Linked DNA regions of Xenopus tropicalis. The protein of the gene in region 1 purifies or fractionates together with the protein of each later gene. This does not show direct contact. Links are inferred from orthologs where the notes say so. Each region holds a gene or a part of one and is shown in the gene's direction. Other genes may lie near its edges. The genes, in order: lrig1, erbb2 and erbb4.

The links.
Region 2: the proteins of lrig1 (region 1) and erbb2 purify together in Homo sapiens (co-immunoprecipitation; 4 studies listed by BioGRID and IntAct, with this or other methods). This does not show direct contact. The link is inferred for Xenopus tropicalis from reciprocal best matches to the Homo sapiens genes LRIG1 and ERBB2.
Region 3: the proteins of lrig1 (region 1) and erbb4 purify together in Homo sapiens (affinity purification with western blotting; 3 studies listed by BioGRID and IntAct, with this or other methods). This does not show direct contact. The link is inferred for Xenopus tropicalis from reciprocal best matches to the Homo sapiens genes LRIG1 and ERBB4.

Annotation. Positions count from the first base shown.
Region 1 is NC_030680.2:143,473,107-143,477,373, forward strand, and holds the start of lrig1 (leucine-rich repeats and immunoglobulin-like domains protein 1), read left to right. Parts: upstream 1-1,395; 5' UTR 1,396-1,935; coding exon 1,936-2,114; intron 2,115-4,267. UniProt on the Homo sapiens protein: Acts as a feedback negative regulator of signaling by receptor tyrosine kinases, through a mechanism that involves enhancement of receptor ubiquitination and accelerated intracellular degradation.
Region 2 is NC_030686.2:9,878,572-9,882,986, reverse strand, and holds the start of erbb2 (receptor tyrosine-protein kinase erbB-2), read left to right. Parts: upstream 1-1,523; 5' UTR 1,524-1,679; coding exon 1,680-1,752; intron 1,753-4,415. UniProt on the Homo sapiens protein: Protein tyrosine kinase that is part of several cell surface receptor complexes, but that apparently needs a coreceptor for ligand binding. Essential component of a neuregulin-receptor complex, although neuregulins do not interact with it alone.
Region 3 is NC_030685.2:57,168,683-57,172,299, reverse strand, and holds part of erbb4 (receptor tyrosine-protein kinase erbB-4), read left to right. Parts: intron 1-2,029; coding exon 2,030-2,229; intron 2,230-3,617. UniProt on the Homo sapiens protein: Tyrosine-protein kinase that plays an essential role as cell surface receptor for neuregulins and EGF family members and regulates development of the heart, the central nervous system and the mammary gland, gene transcription, cell proliferation, differentiation, migration and apoptosis.

The DNA of each region.
Region 1 (4,267 bases):
TGGGACAGTGCTTATAATTGTATAATATGAAGATGGGAGAATAAGGAGAGGGGCCCCAGGAAATGCATATGATGGGATAATAAGGAGAGTGAGGGGGCCCAGGAAGTGCGTATGATTGGATAATAAGGAGAGTGAGGTGGCCCAGGAAGTGTGTATGATGGGATAATAAGGAGAGTGAGGGGCCCCAGGAAGTGCATATGATGGGATAATAAGGAGAGTGAGGGGCCCCAGGAAGTGAGTATGATGGGATAATAAGGAGAGTGAGGGGCCCCAGGAAGTGCGTATGATGGGATAATAAGGAGAGTGAGGGGCCCCAGGAAGTGAGTATGATGGGATAATAAGGAGAGTGAGGGGCCCCAGGAAGTGCGTATGATTGGATAATAAGGAGAGTGAGGGGCCCCAGGAAGTGAGTATGATGGGATAATAAGGAGAGTGAGGGGCCCCAGGAAGTGTGTATGATGGGATAATAAGGAGAGTGAGGGGCCCCAGGAAGTGCATATGATGGGATAATAAGGAGAGTGAGGGGCCCCAGGAAGTGTGTATGATGGGATAATAAGGAGAGTGAGGGGCCCCAGGAAGTGCATATGATGGGATAATAAGGAGAGTGAGGGGCCCCAGGAAGTGCGTATGATGGGATAATAACGAGTGAGGGGCCCCAGAAAATGCATATGATTAGATAATAAGGAGAGTGAGGGGCCCCAGGAAGTGCATATGATTGGATAATAAGGTCAGTGTGGGGGCCCAGGAAGTGCATATGATTGGATAATAAGGTCAGTGTGGGGGCCCAGGAAGTGCATATGATGGGATAATAAGGAGAGTGAGGGGCCCCAGGAAGTGCACAGGATTGGATAATGAAATGTAAGGGCCCAAGAAATACACATAAAAGAAATGAGGAGCTTTAGGCAGTGCATATGATTGGATAATAAGGAGAGGGGCCCCAGGAAGTGCATATGATTAGATGAGAGCTGGGGCCCCAGGAAGTGCTTATGATAAAATGATAGAGTAAGGGCATGGGTACTAGGGATGGGATTATGAAGGGCCCAGTAAGTGAGTATAAAAAGGCGGGAGCCCTGACTGTGTACCAAGGCATGAGGGCACTAAGGCTCCACAGTTACTGAATATGATTGGATACTAATAATGGCTCTGCTTAAGTGTTAACTATGAAAAGCTAAGAGCGCAGGGTCCCTAGCAGTGGGTATAACAGTATAACAGTATAATAGAGGGCCCCCGGCCTCAGACAATGTATTTGGGTGGGAGGTGTGAGGGTCCCGACAGTGCAGCTGTTGCAGCGACACCTCCTCCCTCTCCCAGTTCCTCCAACTGAAATGAAAAGTTCTCTGTAAGGAAAGTGCTAGGGATTTAGAAGGAGGGGGGAGATGAACCCCTGGCCAATCAGCGCCGGCGAGACAGCGGGAGGTGTGAGGCCGACGTGCGGCCGCCAATGAGAGCCCGGCTTACACGCCGCCAGTGTCTGTGCCTGCCCCAGAGCTGCGCTGCCCGGGATCGGCTCGGACTCTGAGCTTTACCCGGAGTGGATCTATCGGTGCTGCGACTCCGTATTCCGCCTCAGCCGGACCGCCCCGCACGGATTAGGGGCTCGGACGCTTCTCGGGTTTCTCTGTAGGACTGCGACGGACTGGATCTGTCTCTGTTTCCCGGGACTGTGGCTGTGCGTCTGCCGCCTGCGATTTTTTACTCTCTGGCCAGGGATCGTCGCTCACACATGACCGATGCCTCCTGAGAGTTGCAACTCCCTGGGTATGGGGGGAGCAGTGGTCTGCGGTGCTTAACACCCCTCAGCCCCCCACAAACTCCTCTCTACTCCTCCCCATTATCCTGAACCCACCCCAAAAACCTGTGCACCCCCCTTACATCCCTGCCCCCTCTATCGGCTCCCGGATTTGGGATCTGTCCCCCCCACAGCTGGACCCCAACATGCAGCCCATAACGGGCAGGAGCACCTTCTTGCTGGGAATTCTCTTCCATTTGGGGATGGGGCTCCCCCAGCAGCCCCTGTGCCCCCCCAGCTGCACCTGTACTGGGGACCTGCTGGACTGCAGCAACCTGGGCCTGACAGCGCCCCCCTCCGACCTACCCGCCTGGACAGTACACCTGTAAGTTGTGCCCCACTCTGCCTCTTTAAACCATCACTTTTCAATTGGTTTTTCCATCTAAGGGTTGCTAGAGGATTGTGGGAGTTGTAGTACAGCAGGACTTTGACCTCCTCTGGGTGCAAACCATGTCAGACCAGCTGCTTGATGGGCACAACTGTCAGTGTGACCCAACTGGCAGTTAGCACCTCTTCCAAAAGGCCACTGTTACTTGTTGCCCCCTTGCCCCATTCCTGACAGCAGCCAACCATAGGGACCCCCCTCTTATTTTTCTCTACCCCATATCTGTAGTGTTGGGGGACTAACGTAACCCCTGTGGGGTCGGGACCCCTTTGGGGGTCGAACAACCCTTTCACAGGGGTCGTCGGAAAACACATATTTCCGATGCTCTTAGGAATAATTTTATGGTTGGGGGGGTCACCACAACATGAGGAACTGTATTAAAGGGTCGCGGCATTAGGGGGGTTGGGAACCCCTGCTTTAGATGGTCTTTTTTTCAAAAGTCGAGCAGGAAACAAACAACGTACAGAATAAATATTAAGAACAGCCCAGGTATAATTATAATATTTAATTGGGTTGCTGTCAAATAATAAATAACACCAGCACGCTGAGCCGGTTTTAGGGCAGGGCAGAAACAGCACTTGAACTTGGGGGGGGTTAAATAAGAACCAAGAAGTACAATACAATGCAATTACAGCCCCCCCCAACTTTCACACTGTATTAAATATACAGGTATAGGACCTGTTATCCAGAATGCTCGGGACCTGGGGTTTTCTGCATAAGAGATCTTTCCGTAGTTTGGATCTCCATAACTTAAGTCTACTAAAAATTCTTTAAATATTGAATAAACCCAATAGGACTGTTCTGCCCCCAATAAGGGGTAATTATATCTTAGTTGGGATCAAGTACAGGTACTGTTTTATTATTACAGAGAAAAGGGAATCATTTAACCATTAAATAAACCCAATAGGGCTGTTCTGCCCCCAATAAGGGGTAATTATATCTTAGTTGGGATCAAGTACAGGTACTGTTTTATTATTACAGAGAAAAGGGAATCATTTAACCATGAAATAAACCCAATAGGGCTGTTCTGCCCCCAATAAGGGGTAATTATATCTTAGTTGGGATCAAGTACAGGTACTGTTTTATTATTACAGAGAAAAGGGAATCATTTAACCATGAAATAAACCCAATAGGGCTGTTCTGCCCCAATAAGGGGTAATTATATCTTAGTTGGGATCAAGTACAGGTACTGTTTTATTATTACAGAGAAAAGGGAATCATTTAACCATTAAATAAACCCAATAGGGCTGTTCTGCCCCCAATAAGGGGTAATTATATCTTAGTTGGGATCAAGTACAGGTACTGTATAAAAAATATAAATGGCTGGGGGCAACCCTATAATTAAAATTGCCCCGTGATCGACATACAGCCTGTGCCCGGCCGCGTCAATATGTGTGTGTTCCAAGGGAAAGTATTTTGTGATTAATTCATTTCTGTGATTAACGCCCGCCGAACAGAATAGGCGAAAGCAAACACTGTATATGACTTGTGGTTTGCACTTTGTATATTATTGCAGCACCTGGTGTGGAGTGTTGGGATTTATGCCAGCGTAATCCTTCATATAGACTTTTTTTTCATTTTTTTTTTTAAATAGCGTCTAATACAATCCACATTGCATTTTGTTAAAAAAAAATATATATTTAAAATTGCAAATTAAGAGGGGGGAAATTTGCAGTGCAGAATTCTGGGAGATTTATTTCTAATCAAAAACATTGTAAATAGGTTTTTAGGATAATGGTAGAGAATTCATAAACTTATTTGGTTAAGCCAGTTAAGTCTCCGGGATGTTACATAACGTCTTGGGCAAGTTGTGGAATTCCCTGCTAGAAGCAGTTGTACTGGCGGATACAGTAGATAGATTCAAGGCTCGGAGACCATGGTTGCTAAGGGTAGCACTCGTATTAATAAATGGTGTCGCTCCACAGACTGGTCCTGTTGCCCCTTTACATAATAGGGAGGTAGGCCAGTGTTATTGAACCTTCAGGTTAACTTTCAGTATGTTATAGAATGACCTATTCTTAGCAACTTTTCAATTGGTCTTCATTTTTTATTATAGTTTTTAAATGATTTGTCTTCCTCTTCTGACTCTTTCC
Region 2 (4,415 bases), on another chromosome or scaffold:
ACACTGTAACGGCCACGTAGCCAGGGGTGCCACTGCCATAAAGGGAGAAACTCTCCTCAGGCAGCGGCACCCAACAAGTTACCGGGGGTGGAAAAAAAACACTTAAAGAGCCAAAATTCTGATTTTTCAGTTGGAATTTCAGCTCTTCTAATACAGACAGTGCTATTGTGACCACTGCACTAGTAATGCAACCCCCCCACCTGCACCAAAGCACGGGAAGCAAGGGGGCAGCATGGAAAAGCCCACCTCAGGGTGAGCAACATTTCCCCTGCACATAGTGCACTTTACTTGCTTTCACTTTTATGCCCCAGCCTTTTGGCCAATGGCAAGGAAATTTTTTAAAATCCGGCCAATATTGAGACATTTGTTTTGTTACTGAGCTTTTATTTTTGTGTTTTTTCTTCTATGATCTAGTGCAACCTACGATCTGGATCTATCCATTTTTTACAATCTAGCGCAATATACACTTATGGATCTGCACGCTGGCTTGAGGGGGATAATGTGTGGCCATTCGGCTCCTTTCCCTTAAAACCTGGCCCCACCATAAACATACAAGACTGAAGATTCTCTTGGGGGTCAATGGAGCTCTTATAGCAGGGCCTCAACTAGGGGTAGGCAGAACAGGCATGTGCCTAGGGTGCAATGGAAAGGGGACCCCTAATTTGTAGCTCCTGGGGATCTATTCTCCACCATGTTTGCTGCCCTAGGCTAGAGGGGGTGGCGCTGACAAGCAGGTATGAATGGGCCCAGCACTGCCTTATAGGCTTTCTGGATGGAGGGTGAGGATAAAGGGGTAACCCTAGCCCTGCTGTGAAGGGAACCTGAAGACCCTCGCCCCTGCCGGCCTTCTAGCTTGGGGGGTCAGAGATAAAGGGGTTCTCTCTAGTCCTTGGACAAAAGGCAAGAACCTGAAAATTCTGGCCGGTTGGTCAGGTTTTGGGCTCTTCCTTTTCATTGCACATTTGCACTTGTGCACCATGCACTTTTTTGCACTAGGTTATTTATAAGGGTGAAGACACACAGAGATACTAGTAGCAGCTACTTGTCGTGGCTACTAAAATAGACAATGCTGATCATTTACTGATAGTTGTCTCTATGTGTGTTTAGCAGAGGCAATTCTCAGTATTGTCTATGGCAGGGGATTTTCTGGGGTTTAGTAGCTGTGAAAAAGTAGCTGCTACTAGTAGCTCAGTGTGTCTTCACCCTAATACATACATGGGTTTCAATAAAAAAAAAGACCAAGGTATGTAGGTGAGTGTGAATAAGGAATTGTGTAGGTGGGCATCTATTGCTTATCCAGAGCTGCCAGTCACTACTTGCCAGGAATGCTAGGAGCCTACAGCCTAGGGGGTATGACTATATTCTAGGGAAGTGGGGGGGAGGGTAGATTTAGCAGCTGTGAGCCCAAGAGCTTACCATCTAGAGACGTTTGAGCCCCACAGGGGTGAGTTAAGCAGAGAGAGCAGGGAGTAGAAGTGAGTGCCACTCCTATAAGTGTCTGTGTCCAGCCCTCCGCCTCTCCCTCCCCTGTGCCCCCTCCCTGCAGGAAGTGCCTGTGTAGGAATGAAGCGGGGCAGCTACACAGGCAACTGAGAACTTCTTTCCCGGAGCAGAGAATCAGGCAGGGGGGCCGGCTGGCAGCAGGGGGGCTGGCATGGCACTGCGGGGGCACTGACACTATGGGGTTACGGCCATGGCTCTGGGGGCTCTGCGCCCTGCTGCTCCTACTGAGGGGACGCGCCGCCGAGGAAGGTAAGGAGGGTGCGGGTCGCAGCGTAAGGTTCTGCCCATGTACTTACAGCGCGTCCGGGGAAGAGTTTGGAGGGAATCGGGGGTGACCTTTATATAGTAGGGAGTTCATCGGCTGCGATTTCAGTCCAATCTGAGTCACTCCAGCTTTGGTTGCGCTACAACTGACGCAAGTATTCGGGTGCAACAGTAGGGGACGCAGGTAAAGCATTCCTGTATACGCAGCCATTGGAACCTCAGCAATATTAATGAGACTAGAATTAAATAAAGGTGCTCTATAGCCTTAATGGCCCAGTGTGAAAAATGATTAGTGCGACAGAGATGCTAATTGCCCTTGACCAACTGCATAGAAGGATTTCATTGGGGTTATCTCTAGAAGATTGGTGTTAAGGTGGCCATACACTTTAAGATCCGCTCGCTTGGCTTGGCTAGATATCGGTCAGGCATGGCCATCGTTTCTACCCCTACACGGGCCAATAAGCTGCCAAATCGGTCCAAGGGACCCATATCGGCCCGTGTATGGGTACCTTTACCGGATGGGTGGGCACATTGTGCCCCCTGTTTGCTCTGCTCTGTAGGGTAAAACAGTGACTTTTGTTTCTGCAAAGTACAGTGTTTTCCTACCTGTGATGCTTTCTGTACTATAATAAACCTATATTATATATCACTATAACCCAGTGATCTCTCGGGGCAACATGTTGCTCCCCAACCCCTTGGGTGTTGCTCTCAGTGCCCCCAAACCAGGGAGTTATTTTTGAATTCCAAAGTTGGTTGAATAAAAACAAGATTTACTACCAAATAAAGCCCCTGTAAGCTGATAGGGTGCATAGAGGCCCCTAATAGCCAATCACAGCCCTTATTTGGCACCTCCATAAACTTTTATGGTGCTTGTGTTGCCCCCCAAGTCTTTTTACATGTGACTGTGGCTCCCGAGTAAGAAAGTTTGGGGACCCCTGCTATAACCAAAAGCAACTCTGGGTAAAGAACCTGCTAGATAGCTTGGTAAGGGGTATAGTATACAGGGTACCATTCAGTTGCATCTCTGGGCAATGGCACAAGGGGTGATTGCAAGCTCTCCCCCCAAAACACACATAATTGCCTCTCCATTGACCTGGATGGTCTTCTGAAACCTGCCCCAAAATCAGACAATTATTGCTCAGAAATGCCAACTGAGCAATTCCAAGTGATAACTGTCTGACCTGCGAGTGGGGTCCAAGGGCAGTTATTATTCCGGGCAACGGAAGGGCAATTGCTGGAAATCTCAGGGGCAGCAATACATTTGCAATCACCCCATGTGCCATTCCCAAGCACAGTAATTCACCTTGATGGCGGCTGCCAACTACTGTGTCCCCCCCCCCCAACCAAACTGTGGGCTCAGAGCAAGTGTTGGAAGGGGCCCAGCCTGAAAGCCATTGAGGTAGAATACCTATTGCCCCCCCAAAGAGTGTCCCCTCTAAGCTGTGCACACAAATTTGGAAGCCAGAACACACACAATATAGTGCAAAGAATCTAAAAGCACAGTTTACTAATTTTTTGGACCCACCAAATGCTTTTGGGCACCAGAAGACATTTTTTTACTGAAGGTCGAGGATTGTGATGAACATGTTGGGAGATGCTCAGGGCAATTGTGTATGTTACGAGCCCAGAGGTGTGTGTTCTGACACTATAGTAAGAGCTCACGTGCTGATGCCTGAAGGTACCGGTGCTGATGTTGGTTTATTAGAAAGTAAGGGTTGCTGGTACCTGTATATTAGGAGAAGGGAAGGGGGTTCTGGTGTATTGGATCAGCAGGAGCTGGGTCAGGGCTCAGCATTCCCTCTAACTCCCTATTTGTGTGTGTGGGTGCACAGAAAGGGTCACACTTTTGCCCCCCTTAGTGCTCTTGCACTTCTGCCCAGGAGATACATAAATTACCCCTTAAGTTTTTCTACACCTCAATATGTTGTATAAGCTGGTCCCCGCTTTGTATATGCATGCACACTACTGCACATTGGTCTAAAAATGCTACATGGTTGCTTTGGGGTAACGGACCCTGGCAACCAAAAAACAGATTGTAAGGTTTTCCTTTTATGGTTGTTTTTTATTGCTTATATCTGATTTCAGGCACTCTACTAATTATCTTCCAGTCTAAACGTCCCCATACACAGGCCGATTGTAGCTGCCGATATGGGTCCCTTGGACCGATTCGACAGCTTATCGGATATCGGGGGAAGATCCACTCGCTTGGTGAATCTTAACGTGTATAGGGACCTTTGCTTCCTAACATTTGCCTGGTTACTAGGGTATTTAAGCCCTAGCAACTACATAGCTGTTAAAACTCCAAACCTACCAGCTGCCAGCGTAACTGCTGAGGGAGCAGCAGTTGTGATTGCATCTGGGCCTGCCCCCCCAGTAGGGCCCCCTAAATTCACCCCCCTGCCGGAGTCACCACCCGTACCCACCAAGACCTGAAGGTGAGAGCAAGCGCACAGCACATCTTCTGGCAGGGGGCCATACTGGGGGGTAGTGATGTGTGGGTCGACATTTTGTGGATGGGCCAAGGGCCGTGGGCATAAATAGAGGCTTCCAGGTGCAGAAGATTGTGGGCAGGGAGGGCAAAAGGGAAAGCTGAGTCCAAACTCACCGTCGACCCGCCAATAGTGTGCAAGTGTCAGCCCCAACCCACC
Region 3 (3,617 bases), on another chromosome or scaffold:
ATTTATTTCAGTTATATACTATACTTTGGCTGTTTTTTAAAGGTATCCTTTTCACTATATAAAAGTAGCAGAACACGGAAAAATGTATGTCTGAAAAGAAACGTCATCATTTCCCAAATAAAGGAATTCCTGAGAGCTCTCCATAGCAGTTTGCAAAATACTGGGTTTAAGGATTACAGGTTTTAGCCGTCAGACAAAAGGCAGCAATTATGGTATCAGAGTTTCCAGTCCCCCGCACAGCAGACAGAAGAAAGCTGGTGCCCACAGAGGTTATGGCATACTGTATACCGGTGCTGGGAATAATTATTTGTCTCTATGAGCTGAGGCTGAGATGGAAGGGCAGGGGGCACATTTAATGATGGCCTCAGCTGAGAAGTTATGAAACGTCCATGGCAGTAAACGAAGCAGCAGATTCAATGATACAATTCTATGCTTGTCAGGAGAAGTGACGGCAAAAGCAGTTTTTGACTTAAAGCGCCCGTAGGGCAGCACTCTCTGAAATAGCAGGCAGCCCCTTTAGTAGTTGATGCTTTTCAGGGTAATGGAAGGATGCAAAGTAATCTAAGCTAAAGGAAGGCTGTAAGCATCAACCCTCTCCATTTAAAAACTGAGGTTGAAGCACTGGATCAAACACTTGCCAGGTATCCACTTATCCTCTTATTAGTTACGGCTGCACCCCACAGCTCTTAGTAACCGAAGTTTGAAAATAAAGAAGCAACAACCAGAGGGTAATTATCCTATGTCTGTGAGCCATGTACATGCCAAAAGGTAATTCAGACATAGGAAATCTAAAAAAGCACCATCTAATCTCAGTATTATCTGTGTAATGTTATGTTAACATTGTGGCTAAAGGGAAGGAAAAGGAAAAACTAGAACAGACTGTAAGTTAATTACTTTATTGCTGTTCAGGGTGCCCTGGAGGACCGCAAGGAAGTGACGGAGACAGGACCATAACAGGGCTAGGGGAGCCAGGAAGGTGTTAAATTGCAAGGGGTTGTGGGAAATGTATTTCAAAAGGTGTTTGTCTGGAGGCTGTAGGAAGAGAGTGAAGGGTATAGAACAGGAGGAGTCAGTCACCATTTACTTTTGCAGCTCCCTTAGCTTATCGGGGGGTAATAATAATAGCAGGGAGAGTGTTGGCGTAAGTGGTGGCAGGAGTGGTTTAAGTCTGAGGCTAGCAATTTTGTGTATCAACCACTGTCAAAAGGGCAGGGTTGGCTGTGGCCTTTTCCACCCATAAATAGTGGTGCCTCTTTAAGTGTTTTAGTTTAAAATGGGTGCTGATTGTGGTGGTGGAAAGGGTCCAAGATGCTGCCCATATCATGTGGAATCTACCTGTAAAACTGGACCCTGTAGAGAGGGAAATTTCCTAGTCTGACGCCTTCAGCATAGATAGAGATCCCTGCAAACATTGATGTTCATCTGAGCCCTTTTGCAGCCTGCTAATCTACTGAGATCCAACTCACTACAGGTTACCAGATGGGCAAGACACAGAGATTCAGGAGTCCCAGGGAGTAGAAGTTGTAGTTGGTATGCAGCCAAAAGTCAGAGCCAGTGGCAAACCTCAGAGTCTGTTCTCAAGCCATTCCCACATACAGGCAAGGCTTAATAACAAGACAGAAGGAGAGTCTGTGCAGTGTTGAAAGGGGCTCTAGCATATTCTGTAGAAAAAGATATGCCGGCTTGGGCAAAGACTAGACTACACACACATGTGTGACTGGTGGTGAGCATATCCTGGCATAAATTAACAGGCATACCAGCAGAGATGCACGTTCTATACACCTGAGAGAGTGCCTTACCACGTGTATAATCTCAACAATGCACTTAGTCTCCTGCCAACTAAACAATGCTAAACAATAATTATATAATATGTAGATGTATATGTGAAAGTGCCTGATTTATTAACATTTGATACTTTTGTCCTGTACAAATTAAAAATGTATTTTTGAGTCCTGCTATTGTTCTTATGGCTTAGAGTCCAGCTCTTAGTATCAGGATGCTCTGCAATTCTGCATTTCTCTTTCCACAGTGGAATTTCCCTGCTGATTCTAAAGCAGCAGAGCCTCAACTCCCTACAGTTTCAGTCACTCAAAGAGATCAGTGCTGGGAATGTATATATCACTGATAACCGTAACCTGTGCTATTACCATACCGTCAACTGGACATCTCTCTTCCGGACATCCAACCAGAGAACCACTATCCGAGAGAACAAGAAGCCAGAAAACTGCAGTAAGTTCCATTATTCATTTGTTTGCTCTTCGGAAGCATTGTTTTGGTTGGTGAAAACTTTTTGTAGAAATATGTTTACGAAAAAACTACTTTTATGTCACTGGTGCAATGTTATTATTAGTCCCTGTTTCCTGGTGACAGGCCCTGTTTCAGTGTCTCTTTTTAGTGTCCCCAGCACAGTCCCCCAATTCAGTGTTAAAGCCACAGTTACATTAATTAATCCATATGTGGACATTGGCTGTACATGTTATCAGTAGCAGTTGCTCTGCCCTAGTCATTTGGTACTTGGCACACTTAACCAGGAAAATAGGGTAGCAATTATATTATTTCAGATGCATTCTTTTTTCTACTTACAAAACACTTAGGGGCTAGAGATGTAGCGAACCTCACAAAAAAAGTTAGCGAACCCGTTCGCGAACTTCTGCCAAAAAGTGCGAACTTTTGCGAACTTTGCGAACCCCATAGACTTCAATGGGAAGGCGAACTTTAAAACCTAGAAAAGCCATTTCTGGCCAGAAAACTGATTTTAAAGTTGTTTAAAGGGTGCCACGACCTGGACAGTGGCATGCAGGAGGGGGATTAAGGGCAAAAATGTCTCTGAAAAATACTTTGTTGACACAGCATTGCATTTTGTGCTGTAAAGGACAGAAATCACACTACATTTCTAAACTTGTGTAATAAACTGCTTTTACAAGGACTATTGGGTTATAGCAGATGATCAGCAGGACAGCTGCCCACAGCAGCTACATACAGAGCAGTAGAAAGTAGATTACTAGTCAGCAAAGCTACCTAAACTGTCCCTCAAACCCCTGCACAGCTCTCTCCCTATGCTAACTCATCAAGCACACACAGGCAGAATGTAAAATGGCTGCTGGGCTTCGGTTTATATATGGAAGGGAGTGGTCCGGGGGTGGTCCAGGAGGGAGAGCTGCCTGATTGGCTGCCATGTATCTGCTGGCTCTGGGGTGAGAGGTCAAAATTTGGCTCCAGCTAAGGCGAACCCAAAATTGCGAACTTCGCTAAAAGTTCGCGAACTTGCGAACTTGCGAACACCCGATTTTCGTGCGAATTAGTTCTCCGGCGAACAGTTCGCTACATCTCTATTAGGGGCAGATTTATCAAAATGTGAGTTTAGAACTTAATACATAGAAAATATAAAATACATATAAACTAACTCTAACTTTCACCCATTGAAAAATATGCTTCTTAAATTCCCATTGGAATGAATAGAATGTGGGTGAGTTTTTCACGTATTAAGCTCTCAACTCACATTTTAATAAATCTGCCCCATACATTACTCTAGTGTGGGCTGGTTCAGCTTTGTAGACAAACCTGAGGTTTCTACAGTTTTACAACATTCTGTAACTTCTCTCAGCATGGCCAAAGTG